Linked DNA regions of Drosophila melanogaster. The protein of the gene in region 1 interacts with the protein of each later gene in a pairwise test. Each region holds a gene or a part of one and is shown in the gene's direction. Other genes may lie near its edges.

Region 1 (7,234 bases):
ATGCCCGCTCCAGCATTAAACTTGGCGATTCCCTTGGATCCCAACGGGGAGTAGGCAGTTACGGTAATGTTTTCGGACTTGCAGAAGTCGACCAGATCTCGCTGCTGCAAATAAACGTGGTGCTCAATCTGGTTGTTGGCCGGCCGGATCTTGCAGTTCTTCAACAGACGGGCCACCTGATCCTTGCTGAAGTTGGATACCCCAATGGACTTGGTGAGACCCTTCTCCACCAGGGCCTCCATAGCAACCCAGATGGCTGCGTGGTTCGTGGTAACGTCGACCTCCATTAGGCCCTCCTTGTCGAGCTGAAAGTTAATGCTCGAGATGTGTATAGGAGTTGGGATTAGATTCCGTAGCACAACTACCTTAAAGCTTCCGTCCTCGTTGATATTAATTGTGAAGGGAGTGTGCACCAAATATAAGTCCACATAGTCCAGTTGCAGATCTTCCAGTGACTTTTTGATGGTTGGCTCAACTTCGTGGGGGCGGTTGGCTAAAACAAGGATTATATTATTATTATATTATTTTTGAAATAACTGGACTCGTAATAGTGAAAACTCTCACAGCTATATTTATAGTCATTCACATCAGGTTCATTTATCATATCAAAGAGTCATGTGGTGATAATAAAAATGTTTTTAAATTGAAATTATGAACACTGAAGGAGTCTATGTTGGTGTTTTAAAATCACGTTCCTAGTCTTATTTTATCAACTAGATATCAAAAAGAATATTGGTAGCTGGTGTAAAATGCTTTGGTTTCTATGGATCTTAAGATTCTGTGGGCATAGAACATAGGAACTATTTATAAATGTTTATATGGCATTTTGAAATACCATCCAACTACTAAATGCTACTTACAAACGGGTGGCACCTTGGTCACAATGAACAGCTCCTCCCGCTTGACCTTGCCGGCGTCCAGCCAACGCTTTAGGACTCTTCCGATGGCCTTCTCATTGCCGTAGACTGGCGCCGTATCTATGTGGCGATACCCAGCTTCCAAAGCCGCATCGATGGCGGTTTCGATTTCCTCATCAGATGCCTGCATTGTGGTGATGAAAGTGCGGTTTAGTGGTATTGTATATATATTGATTATAGGATTTGCATAATCTACACTACCCGAAAATCTTCAAACTCGATTTACAACGATATTTATTCTCCCGTGACCAGAGAAAGTCCAGTCCACCAGTGGATATGAATGGTGGTTTATTGTTTGTTTTTGAAAACCGGTCTAAAGTCCCCCAGCACCAACCAAATTGTTGATTGCATCGGAATCGGAATTTCAAGAGATTTAAATGACGTGTCAGCGATTTGTTGAGGTCATTAATAAGTTGAAACAATAGTATTAAGATTCGAATATCTACTATCCATTTAACCACTTACAAGCAATCTATGAAATTACAGAATTAACGTGATTATAAATACCTGCCAGGTGCCGATGCCAATCACGGGCATCTTCTCTCCATTGTTGAACGTTAAGAACTTGGTGTTGACCATTTTGTATTGATTTTTGATAACTTGTACACTAAAACAGACTTGAGTAACAGATTAAATGGAAAAGATGCGGCACAACCTGTTGCTTCGAGGATTGAATTGAAATTAAACAAGAAGCTACGACCCAGTCACCGGCCCACTTATCTCACCCAATCCAATGAGATTCTGCCTTTTGCAAAGCGCGGTCTTACTAGTCGATATTTGTTTAACAAAACAATCGAATTTAAAAATAAATGTACTTACCATAAATGGTTTAAGGCTCGTTTACTATAAAATATCGGACTAATTTATTTGCATTTTAGTTAGATTTAATATTATAACAATAGAAAAATTTGTAGCTCATATCCAAATACTGTATAAGTGTGTGTAAGAAAAATTCAATTCCGTTTCTAAATGATTTTAAGCTTTTAGAGAACAACTAATCCACCACTATGGAGAAGTTAGTGAACGTGAATTCTGAAAGTTCTGTAGTCTCACTGAAAATGCATTTGTCAATTCGACTGGTGGGGCTGCCGGTGTGCTTTAGCCAGAGGCGCCTGTAAAAGAACGGCTTGATAATTAAACGTTGAATGGAAAAAATCACTCACATGGACTCAAAGGAATGTCGGTGTGCTTGAATTTCGCCCTTCACCGTATTCTCGTTGGTGTTTTTGCACCAACCCCGGACTCCCAGCTTTTGAGCTCTTCGCAAGGTGTACTAAAACATGGTAATTGGATTACAGTAAAGAGATTTCACATATACAATAAGAGGTAGCAGAAAATCCATAGCTCAAAGGGGTTTTGAAGATCCCATTTCCCAGCAAGCTCTTACCATTCGAAATGAAACGCCTGTTGGTGCCAGATAACTAATTATTGCGACTATACGATTTGTGAATACCCTACCTTGCACAATGCCGAACACTTCGAATTGGCAGCTGAAGACCGGCTCATCGCTTCTGTCCGATGTTACTCTTTTTTGGAACTCTGTGTTCGAAATTCGGTTGGGCTCCTCGCTGCCTTTTTTGGATGGTGTACCTTTATCTGGTGTCGAAGATGGAAGAGTTACCCTCCTACGTTCACCCTCAGTCTGCGTTTCTTGGGAGGTCATTTTACAACTCGTATATTTAACATATTTGGAGCGGAAACTGTCAAAAATCGATAGGTCGATAGGGATTGAGGGTTTTATTTTGGGTCACCTTGAATTTCAATGGCTTTAAAAACAGTACATTTTAAATGAAATGACTTGAACAAGGTAAAACAAAAACAATAGCAAAAGTTACGTTTTCTTATTGTCAACAAATGAACACTTATGTTGAAAATTCGACAGCAATCCTAGAGCGGTATTTTTAGATCTAGCTTTTTTAGCCTTTTTTAAATCGTCGGTCGACCCGATCAGTCTGGTTCGGGCTATCGGGGCATGTAAGGGTCACCCTGTGTTCAAGGCGGTTCGTTGGAACCAGTTCCGAACTGTCTTTGAACAAAACAAAATCACCCAGACAAAATAGTGAATTACAAATATTACGCAGATTCTACATCAACGCACTATGCATACCGTGTACGCGCTTCTGAAGAACAAGCTGAGCGATGTGCATCCCCTACACAACATCGATCTGACGCGGGATGTGGCCTACCTAAAGGCGGTGGTGACCAAAGAGATGCACTTGCAATTCGACGCCAGCGAGTTGGGTGAGTGACCCTCGGGATTCAAATCGCTGTCCATTGTCTCTATTGTGTCAAGTCATTTGCTGCGCACTTGCAGAGATCATCCACCACGGACGCGTGCTGGAGGACGCAGACACCCTCAACCGAACGCTGCAGCCCAACGCCGTGATCCACTGCTTTCAGAAGATTAAACGTTACTCGCCGTATGTGCCGCCAGCCGCCGCCGAAATCAACACGAAGCATATTCAAGAGCTGTTTTCGTTGACCTCGCACCTGCAAATCAGCGTTACCTCGCGGTTCAACATTCTGCAGAAGATACTCGCTGAGTATCCGGAATTTAGGCGAAATCTGGGCGCCCAGGCCCTTATTCGCGACTCCGTACTGTTCAACATGCTGCACGAGCCGGAAGTGGTCCAAAATCTCGTTAAAGATTATCCCCTCATCTGCGAGGCCGCTCCATTCATAGTGGACACCATTCGCAAGGAGCTAGCCAGAAATAGCTCGGCCACGCAGTGTAACTAATGCCGTATCTATTCTTGATTTGTATATTTTACCCGTTTCTTCCTTTTTAGTGCAGGAGCAAGCTGCTTCGGAGTCTACTACTTCGTCAGAGGAGGAAAACTCTCTGGGTGCAGGCAGCAGCAGCAGTGGTGGAAGCAGCAGCACAGCCGTGGCAGCTGCCGCGGCCGCCAATCGGCGTGATGAGATGGCCAACATCCGTCAGATTAGCCGCCAGCAACTGGCTAACGCATTGGCTAACGTGACCCCGTTTAATTCACTGTCGAATATTGCGCAGAGAAACGCGGACGAGGCCGTGCAGGGTGATGAAAGACCTAGAACCACCTCGGCGCCATTAGCAGGCGTTGGAGGAGCAGCGGGAACAGGCGCAGGAAGCAGCAGTGGAGCCATCAGCAGCGGATCCATATCCTCAGAGTTGCTCCGCAACGAGCTGGCCCGCGCTTTTCAGTCCCTGTCGCAGGATCAACCGGCGCCTGTGGAGAACATGGAGGTGGAGTCCGGAGAAGGACCAGTACCAGAGCAAGCCGCCACAGCACCAGCCGATGATGTAGATGACGAGGACGATGGTGGAGACGACAGTGATGTGCTGCCACGCCGCTACCGTCGCCATCGGTTCACCGAACAACTGCGTACCATGGCCGCCATGGGCTTCATTAATCACACTCAGAACGTTAGTTATCTAGAACTTTCCGATGGGAATGTGGAACACGCTATTAATCTGCTTATGCTGAGCATGAATTAATAAGGATCGGAATTGACTAAAAAGCCAACATAATGTGCTTACTTTACGGACTTATATTTATTCTGCTGCTGAGGATTCTGAAGCATTAAACTCCCAACTTAAGCAAGGAATATCTCTTAATAACTTTTAATAATTAAATATACGTTTAGAGGAGTCATCTTTGTAAGCTAATTGGGGTGGGATTGCGGAGTTTGGGCATGGGGGTAAAAGCCGGCCGTACAAAAGGTTTCCACTAAATTATACTAGTTGATTAGATAGTCCAGCGCCTTGTCCTTATTATTGTTGAACTTGAGTAGCGCCGCCGAGATTTTCGATTCGTCAAAACCGAGGTCCAGAAGTTCTCCCAGTGGAATAAGGTGTTCGATAATCTGAAAAGACGTCCCAGATCGGAATAATGCATTTTGCAAAAGTTTTCGAAACTGACTTACCTTCTTATCGTCGATACCGCATAGACTAACCACCTTTGCCACCCGTTCCAGAGGGAAACCCATAGTACTGATACGTTGGGCCAACTTCTGTGCCGGACCAGCCAGCTCCCTAAAGGAGTTTCTGTCCACTGCCAACTCCACCGTTGGCTGCTGCTCCGCGTTGTGACTGTGCAGGCGGGTACGACGCTTCTCCGCCTGCTGCAGCTCCGTCTTCAGCTCCCGCAGGATGTCAGGCACACTCCTTGACTTCGTGGCTACCTCGTCCTCCGACTGGCTGAGCGCATGCACGGAGGAAGGCGCTGGAGGAGCCTTCAAAAGGTTTTGAGTCCCGAATCCATTGACTTGGTAGTTGCTAAACTGTTGGAAAGAATGCTGCTGCGGAGGGTAGAAGGGCTGGTGACTGTAGCCCTGCATGTGGTACACCTGCGAAAATAATAATTAGCCCATATTTTAAATCGGAGCGTCTGAAAAAAACTTATTTTCGATTGAAATAAAATATTGGGTATCGGACTAATACTTGGTTTATAAGACCATGCTAAGATCGTACTCAAGCTCAGTCAAAATATATTACACCCTCAATTGTGGTACTAATTAGTTTGAGCAATAGCCCCACCCTCGACTTGTGATGAGTTATTTATTTTTAGGTAATCTACCTGCAAATGCTCAGAAATCATCCCGATTAAATGGTATACTGTGAGTGAATGAACAATTTCCTCTTTTATTACAATTTAATGAGTAATGAGGATTGGATTTTGAGAATACAAGGATAGTGTGACATTCAAAAGAATCAAGTTAACATATTATTAAGGCTCTTTAACTAGTTAAAAGTGTCCCACCTGAAAGTGTTCCGGTTTATGCAACGGCTGCTGGGCGGAAGCGCTGTACATGGGCGTTAGGTATTGAGCCGTGGTTGGAATGTGGCTTGGCTCGCCCCTGTCCGCATTATCATCACAGTGAACATGGAAATTGACGCTGTCGAGCGTCGCTTTGGTCTCCGCCAGCGTAGTCATTGCTAGCTCCACCGGAGCTGGCACTTCATTGCCAGATTGCTCCTCCTTGGAATGATCCTCATGCGGCGGCTCCTGCTGCTGCTGATCCTGCTGCTGTTGATCTATGCGCTTCTCCAGCTGTGTCTGGTGCAGAACCTGAGCTAGTATGTCTAGATCGTTGATGGTCTTCAGCTCGATATTGTCGAAAGGTGTGGAGTTCATATTGTACTCAAAGTCTGCGTAGTTTAGGGAGCTGTTACGCTTGTGCAGCGTCTGCGGACTGACCACTGGAGTGGTGCTCAGAATGGTGGGCTGCAAGATATTGTGAAAATTACACACACTTATTGACTTTGGTTCGTGGGAAGAGTCGCGTGACTCAGCGGTGATTGGAGGTGGTGGCTGCTGTTGCTGTTCCTCGTCCCTCTGCTCGGGCTCGTTCTTCTTTCGCTCCTTCTCGTCCTCATCCGATGACAAGTCGTCCGCACTAGGATAATCAACTGCTCCAAGCATCTCCTTCTGTCTCGCCTCCAGCGCCCGTTGGCGTTCCTCCTTGCGACGCTCCTGGCGACTGGCTCGCTCCTCGCGCTGCTGGCGACGCAGGTGGCGCCATCGTTGCGCCTGACTCAGCACGGCCCTCTCCAGCTGACAGTCATACTGGTAATCCGGATGATCCGTGTAGAAACCTTCTCGGAATTGCGACAGGCGATTGAGGGTCGCCTGCGGCAGGTGGTACACGGCAGGCGGTGGTTTGTAGCGCTCGACTATCTTGACCGGGACATCTTCCATGTTATGCTAGCGCATTCACCACGAATTTTGTTAATTAAGTTGCTACTACGCGTTTTTTTTTCTCTGTTCTCTTTTGTTGTTTCTCGAGCAGCAGCGATAGGCGATTGGTATTGTCATCGGTCACTGCTGATTCGCCAATTTCGACTAGTGTTGAATATCGTTTTTCCTTGAGATGCTCACCTAATTAGGTGTACTCAGGCTTGGTTGCGAGTTTGACAACAGCTGATATTAAATCTACCCAAATTTTCGCCAATTTGAGGGCGTATGAAAGGCTTAACAAAAATCGGAATACATTAATAGTTTCTACAGATCACGTTATACAACATAAAAAAATTAAAATTACAAAACATTTTGACATACTAAATATTTTTTGTTACCAAGGGTATCATTATTTAGTGCATGGCGGATAGTTTTAAGATCTTTATTCTAAAAAACTATTTTTGACCAAACTTTTGTTTAAAATAATCCCGCGCTTTTACAACTGAGTTTATTGAAATCATGTTCTTTCCACTAGATAAAACCAAAGTTTCTGGGAATAAATAAGGACGAAAAATGGCAGTTATGATATCTATTTTATCTCTATCTATTCTTTAATAGGTCTTAGTCCAATAATACAGCAATTTCCTATGTAATGTT
Region 2 (6,712 bases), on another chromosome or scaffold:
AACTCCCTGCGGTTAGTGACAGAAAATCGTATTTAAATCGAATCGAGTCGCAACAAAACAAATCTTTAATTATTCCCATATTTGGGATGGTCGAAGAAATGCTGTCAGCTCCTTATAGACATGGCATGGTGGATATAATAAACTATGGATACATATGCCCAGTCAGGTTGGGCATCAACTTTTTGTTGAACTTGCCATTGATTATGTGCGAATTAATAGCATCAACAGCTTCCATAATTGTCGAGGCGTGCCCAAAATTGTGAGGTCGTTCAGTTCAGATCGGTCTATTCCCCGTTTATTGACTCGATCGGTCGATCGATGCTTTATGGCCGGATAGGAAATGCAACTTACACAACCGTTTTGTTAACTGTTTTTTCTGTATGAAACATTCGACCGCTGCCATATTGGGCTGGGCTATAAAAGTTATTAAACACCGTGACAAGCCTGGAAAAATGTCAGCTTAATGCACTAAACATTTCCTGAACCAACGAAAGCAATGTAAATACCCATTCATTGTTCTCAATTCCAATGATCGTCACGCACAGTGAACTAAAAAATGCGTTGCCAAAATTTTCGAAAAACAAAAGAATCGTTAAAAACTAAAAGATACACGCGCTGAAATCACAGATGTCCCCTGATGACGTCAATTGGCGGGGACATGGCGTCAGTACTTGGTACTTGGGGCTGCGGATAAGAAGCAATTGACCACAAGACAAGACCACCAACTGTTTGCTAGCCACTGACAGATTTGGCAATTAAAATGTCAGAGCACCAGGAAAAAGTTTCAAGGAACCGGGAAGAAATAACCAATAAACTGGCATACAAAGTTCGCCTATAATCATAATGCAACATGACTAATTTACTGGCACAAGCATGCACATATTCTTTGTGAATCATATGCATATGCGTTGCACATGCACTTAGCCTTAAGTAAACATACATTTCTAAAAATAAATGTAAATCCATTTTACCGACTAATGACTGGGCTTTATGATTTGCCAAAAATACATGTAAAATAGTCGCAGCTGTTCATGCGTGAGTTAAAAACATGCAATAATAACACAAGCAATCACAATTTCAAATTTAAATGATAGAAAAACATCTGTGCAATTCGCATTTTCACTTTTCTAATTTGTTGTTGTGTGCTTGACTTTTATTTTGCCTTTTCGCATGCAAATGAGCGTGCAGAAATGTATCTAAAGGCATTTGCAACTAACTGGCAACCGGGTGGATCCACAAGATACGGGTGATGTCTTCTGGAAAGCACTGGAAACCGGATTGATGAACTAGTTGGTATCCCTTATATAGCCATATTTTGTTTATGAGATGTTTATACGAGAGCTTATTGTGTTATTTGGATTAATATTATTATGTATATATTGTGCATTATGTGATCATACATTTAATATAACGTTTAATTTATTCAATTTATTTATTGAATTTATATTTTTGATTCTTTTTAGTCCAGTTCCATCATATCCCCTACTACCCTCTAGTAAAAGCAAACTAGTTGCCTAGAAGAATCTGCAGTTGCAGCTGGCCGCGCATATTTCAAGATCAAGGGCAGCCAGCAGAAGTAGAAGAAGAAGTAAGAACTTGAAAGCTGCCACATGCAACATGACATAATGATAGTCATTGTCCGCCCGTCTTGGCTATAAATAGCTTGGCTCTGAAGTCGGAGATCGGAAGATCGTTCGTACAGGGTGCTCCCTCCAGCCGCCCACATTCCGCAGTTGAGCTAATCTAGCGATAAATATTTACTTGGAAATTGCTCTTGCTCTGGCATTTTAGCTTTAGAAAATTTAGCTATATATTTATATAAATACAAATATATAGATATACTCGTAGCGGACTTACGACAATTCCAGGCCGTTGCGATTGGCATCCCCGTTCACGGGCAGCTCCGACAACTGAAATCCGCGATCCTGACGAACCATATATGCGGGCAGAGTGTCGATGATGGCATTGGCCTTATCATTATAAGAACCAAGTAGTTCCCGATATTTGGAGTACACTACGCGCTTCAGCTGCGGATTCTTGGATGACACGGAGGCGTTTGATGGCGACGGCGACGGAGATTGCAGCGTTGAGGTGGCCATTGCTCGCGGACTCTTGTTTACTTGTTTTAATACTTTTATACTAATTTATTTTTGTTGTACACTATTTTATCTGAATTTTGCTTTTACACTTGCATAGCACGAAAGTGGGTCGACTATCTTTAAAGCGGACCTCTATCTGCGAATGGGTACAAGCAAGTGGGTTTAAAGAAAGCCCAAAGCAAATTTTTTCCACATCATATATAAAACTATTAGGGCTACGCCGTAGTTCCTTCTGCTTTCTTTGCTGTCCAGATCTGTTTTGAATCGCTTTAGAAGTTAAACAATTGAAATGAAAATATTTGCAACCCATTTGCCAGGTTGCAAGTGCGCTTATCAGTAAATGTGCGCAGAACAAAGAGTTACAATTCAAGCAGCCAAGTACAATGGGTTGTACAATCGATTTACATTTGGCCGATCAGGGGACATGCAAACAAAGGTGCTGTATTGGAGCCTAGGTGGTCGAATGACTCAACCATCGATTGTGGGAATTGAATTTAACCTTTTTTGACAAGGGGCAGCCGACAAATGGTCTGCTGACTCACATCGGCGGAGAAGAATCACTGAAATTTTTGGGGGAACCTATAACAGAATCACTACTATGTGGACCAGCCGTTTTCCGTCTCGCAGAGATACGCTTACGCAGTTGAATTATTTTTAGGCATGAGCTAAAGTTGCTCCGAATTAAGATGGCATTTGCCCGGCCTTTCTGTTAGTATCCGACTTTAATCACTCACTCACTCACTAATTATTAAATTGAAAACACACGCGCTGCGCACAAAAAGTATCTCGTAGGTTCGTTTTTTTTATCTGTATCTGAGGAGCGCACTGGGCGACTGATCGCAGCGGACTCTCGAGACGCATTGAAGTCGGGTTCGGTTCGCCGGAGGTTGGACGGCACATCTGAGTTGGCTTGTTCGGCAACTTGTTGCAGATACATTTCCAGTCGCTTTGATGGTATTGGTGGTGCCGCAAAAGGAAAATCGATCGCTTGACAAACGGCCGACTGGCACGCGGACTGTATAGCAATTTATTTGTCTGTCAATGCAGTTCGATGATGGCGACAAATTTCCAGCTAAACGCCAAAAAGACTTTGCGACGCTTTCGTTTATCTGTATCTGGTATCTTTCGGCTGTATCTGCATCTCTTATCGTGCTACTAATTGTTTTCACTCTACTGTCATGTCGTCTGCTTATTACTTCTGTCGCTTTTCACGATTAAGCCAAATCGAAAGAACGGGTATCTCCCACTTCGGCATTATCTTTAGTTCGGGGGATTTCTTTATCGAATCTGCGCACTCGGCTTGCTCTAATTAACTCATTTGAACAATCATCTGCGGAAATGTGGCCCACTAGCCTTGACAGACAAATAAGATGTTATCTTTTCTGCTGTTTTTTTCTTTCAGTCTTATTTTCATTTTTTGCGACTGCTTTGTGCACAGTTAAATAATAATTGGCAAGAAAGCGTTAAGGAATTTAAAACGCGGAATGACTGGGCTAAAATCATTTTCTTTTGTCGCTCGACATCCACAATTTGTACGAAGTAAAAAACTTAAAATGCCACAAAGAAGGGGAAAGTCAAGAGACAACATCGGCAAACGATTATTGTGGATAGTTCTGGTCATCTACTTTCATTTGATCCCATTATATAGTTTTAACCATGAGCAAGAAAAGTATTTTTGTGTAGCTTTAATAATTTAACTGAACCATATCGACATTTTGGAATATCGAGCAGTTGACTGTAAATAAGTATATAATGAATGTATTTTTAGTATTGGATAATATAATCAACTCCATAAATTCCCTTAAAAGCTAAAGTCACTTTTTAGGAAATATGATTAGCCAAGCGTTTCCTTTCAAGTCACTGACATTTCATAGACATTACCAGATTTCTCAGTTTAATTTCTTAACGAATACTTGGAGAAATACCATTTATCCAGTTCAGAAACTATGGTAAGTTAAAACAAATGCAAGAAAAGCCGCGTGAACTGACCGTTCCATAAAATCTCAACCCCAAGTACCAACGATTCGCCAATTTGAATCTGGAGGCCCTCTATGGAATTCCGGCTATGTGTCCAGTGACCAATTGCCAGGCGCAGATGTCGCCACTCGAGATGCTGGCCCATCTGATGATGCGGCACAGTCCGCAGGACTCGATGATCGAGATTGCTGAGGACGTGCCCAAGCAGTACGAAGTGGATATTGATAAATTGACACCGGGTCGAAATCATTCGATTGGAGTCATCGCCTATGAGGGAGCCCCAAAGCCGGGTCTTAGTTGTGCTGTTACTTCGGATCTGCAGATTGTCCACCATCTGCCCATTATCCTGATGCTCTATGTGAGCCCTCCTATTCTGAACACCGAGCAGGCCTACATCTTATACCTGGTGAGTGCTGTGCCCTCCAGTCTGGTGAGTGCCAATGTAACACTCCTCGACGGATTCCATGCCCACGAGAAGCGCGGATGGCGTTGCCTGCGCAATTCCCTGGACAGTCCATTGATGGATAGTCAGAATCGGCTGTATTGCAACACGGACTACCTCCTGTACACGGCCACCGACATTCGGGAGCTGTGCCTCTCCGGAGAGCAGCGTAGGATCTTCGTCAAGATCGTGCTACACGGCGAGCCCGATCCCTTCCAAGTGGACGCCTAGCAAAAGGTGTCCGGACGAGTGACTCATTTGGTTCAATAAACACTTAAGTGCTGCGCCGCCAATTGACGCACACTTGAAATTCGAGTGGCTGTCAATAATATTCGTTCCTCAAAGAACTGTCAGTGAAATTGGTTTCCCTATTCATTCAATATTTCTGCTTTGGCTGGCCAGAAACTGGGTCAGACAGAGATATTTGGTTTTGTGCAGACATCAATCATGGGGGCCATCTAATTAGTTAGCCACAGGCCTCTGATTGCGGAAAATACTAGAGTCATTTCTTCTGACCGTGAAGAATGGGATTTTTAATTATGTGTTAAATGTTGCTGTGCTCTTTTTGAAAAAAACAATTTCGTTTGATTTTCTCTTTTCACTTTCGTTTCATTTTGTGACCCACTTAGTTGCAGTAGGTTCTTAAATGCAATAGCTTTTTAAAACGATTTTATAAACAATATAGCTAAACATTAAAATAAATGTATTTTTTAGCAAAGTATAAAACATAAGCAAATGCTTAGATCAACGCCTTTAGGTCTAGCGGTTAATCTCATAAATTATCCGAAACTATATAGAAATTAAAGAAACGCAAGAAACATAAACACCTACAAACACACAGATGCGATGCTATTTATAAGAAACTTAATTTTGCAAACATAAAACGAAAGAAAATTTATACCCCATTAAATACGAAACGATCTCTCACGGAAAAGTAAAAGGAAAAACAAAGATGGATAATCCAATAAAAATTAGCGTTTCACCAACAACACCCACAGCCCAGAAGACACAAGCGTGTATAAAACTATAATATTTCTGGCTTTTTTTTTGTTGTATCTGACCTTGAAAAATTATCTGAACGGCGGCGAAAAAAGTTTTACGTACGAAAAAAAAAAACAAAAATCAAAGAAAAACAAACGCAATCAGGGAAGCCATTCATCACTTTCTACGGCCACTTGAGTGTGCAACTCGTTTTGCATTTGTCATTTAGCTGCGTTGATTGCATGACATGAGCACATCAGACAGGGAGCCGTTGGGTTTGCGATTGGGATTGGGATTGGGATTGGGAGTGGGTCTGGCTCTTGTCGGTACTCGCAATTATTTATATTAATCTGGCCTGGGTCAACGTCAGCGAACCCAGGTGAAAGCGAAAACGCAGACTCTGCCCCAAAAGCCCGTTGCACAATCGATGGCGGTAATATTTCTCATTCAGTTGCCTTGCGGAATATATGCGCATACAAACGCGAATTTCTGTGTATTTTTCCTACCATGACCACATGTCGTCATTCACCGTCGGTCGTTTTTGGTCAGATAGGCAACCAAATCCCGCCAGCGCCTTTTTTTTCGATTTTTAACTTTTTTCCTGCAGCTCGAATTTGGTGCTGGTTGAAAAATTGCCATGTTATTGATTTGTAAAAAATGAAAAAAAAAAATTAAATATAGCCGCGCCATGAAAATTCGATATTTGTTTGTGGAGAAAGTGTGAAGGAATAAATCACGCACAGCAAAGCCATTTTCCGGGAAAACAAATAAATAGTAAAAATCATGGAAAAATCTGAGCAATAGTTCTTATAAAATTCCCCAAAACAAAATGTAAATTTAAACGTAAGCATAATTCAATAAATAATTAAATTGCAGAAATTGTTCTTTACGTTTGACTGCGAATTAATTGTGAACTTTCCCTTAATTAATTTTAATTCAGAGTGTATTGCTGAAGAGAAGTCATAAAGGCAAAGTGAATCATTGAATCAACTATCATGGGAACGATCTAGGTACATTCACATCGCTGTCCAATAATCAATTCCCAATGCTGTTGAACTGTCATCTGGGTGTGGCTTTATATCTTGTGCCTTATCCACTTGGGAATCTTCCTTTGAGTTTAGTACCCTATTTCGCATACAAATTTCACGGTCAACTGCGACCAACTTGAACTTGGGACAAGAAATCTGTTTACGTATTTTACAAATGCAAAAAT

The links. Proteins that work in one complex are often made in the same cells at the same time.
Region 2: the proteins of CG3223 (region 1) and CG31848 interact in a two-hybrid assay, tested with the Drosophila melanogaster proteins (one large-scale study listed by BioGRID).

What each region holds. Positions count from the first base shown.
Region 1 is NT_033777.3:8,006,472-8,013,705, forward strand, and holds CG3223 (uncharacterized protein), read left to right. Parts: upstream 1-2,928; 5' UTR 2,929-3,016; coding exon 3,017-3,158; intron 3,159-3,231; coding exon 3,232-3,648; intron 3,649-3,706; coding exon 3,707-4,395; 3' UTR 4,396-4,547; downstream 4,548-7,234. Other genes in the region: CG2767 (uncharacterized protein), read right to left, coding at 1-305, 366-493, 861-1,041, 1,425-1,496; CG11052 (uncharacterized protein), read right to left, coding at 1,912-2,029, 2,081-2,190, 2,305-2,321, 2,376-2,580; CG10435 (uncharacterized protein), read right to left, coding at 4,638-4,763, 4,824-5,246, 5,660-6,598.
Region 2 is NT_033779.5:13,263,118-13,269,829, reverse strand, and holds CG31848 (uncharacterized protein), read left to right. Parts: upstream 1-3,953; 5' UTR 3,954-4,045; coding exon 4,046-4,048; intron 4,049-4,113; coding exon 4,114-4,749; 3' UTR 4,750-4,834; downstream 4,835-6,712. Other genes in the region: CG44085 (uncharacterized protein), read right to left, coding at 1,858-2,099.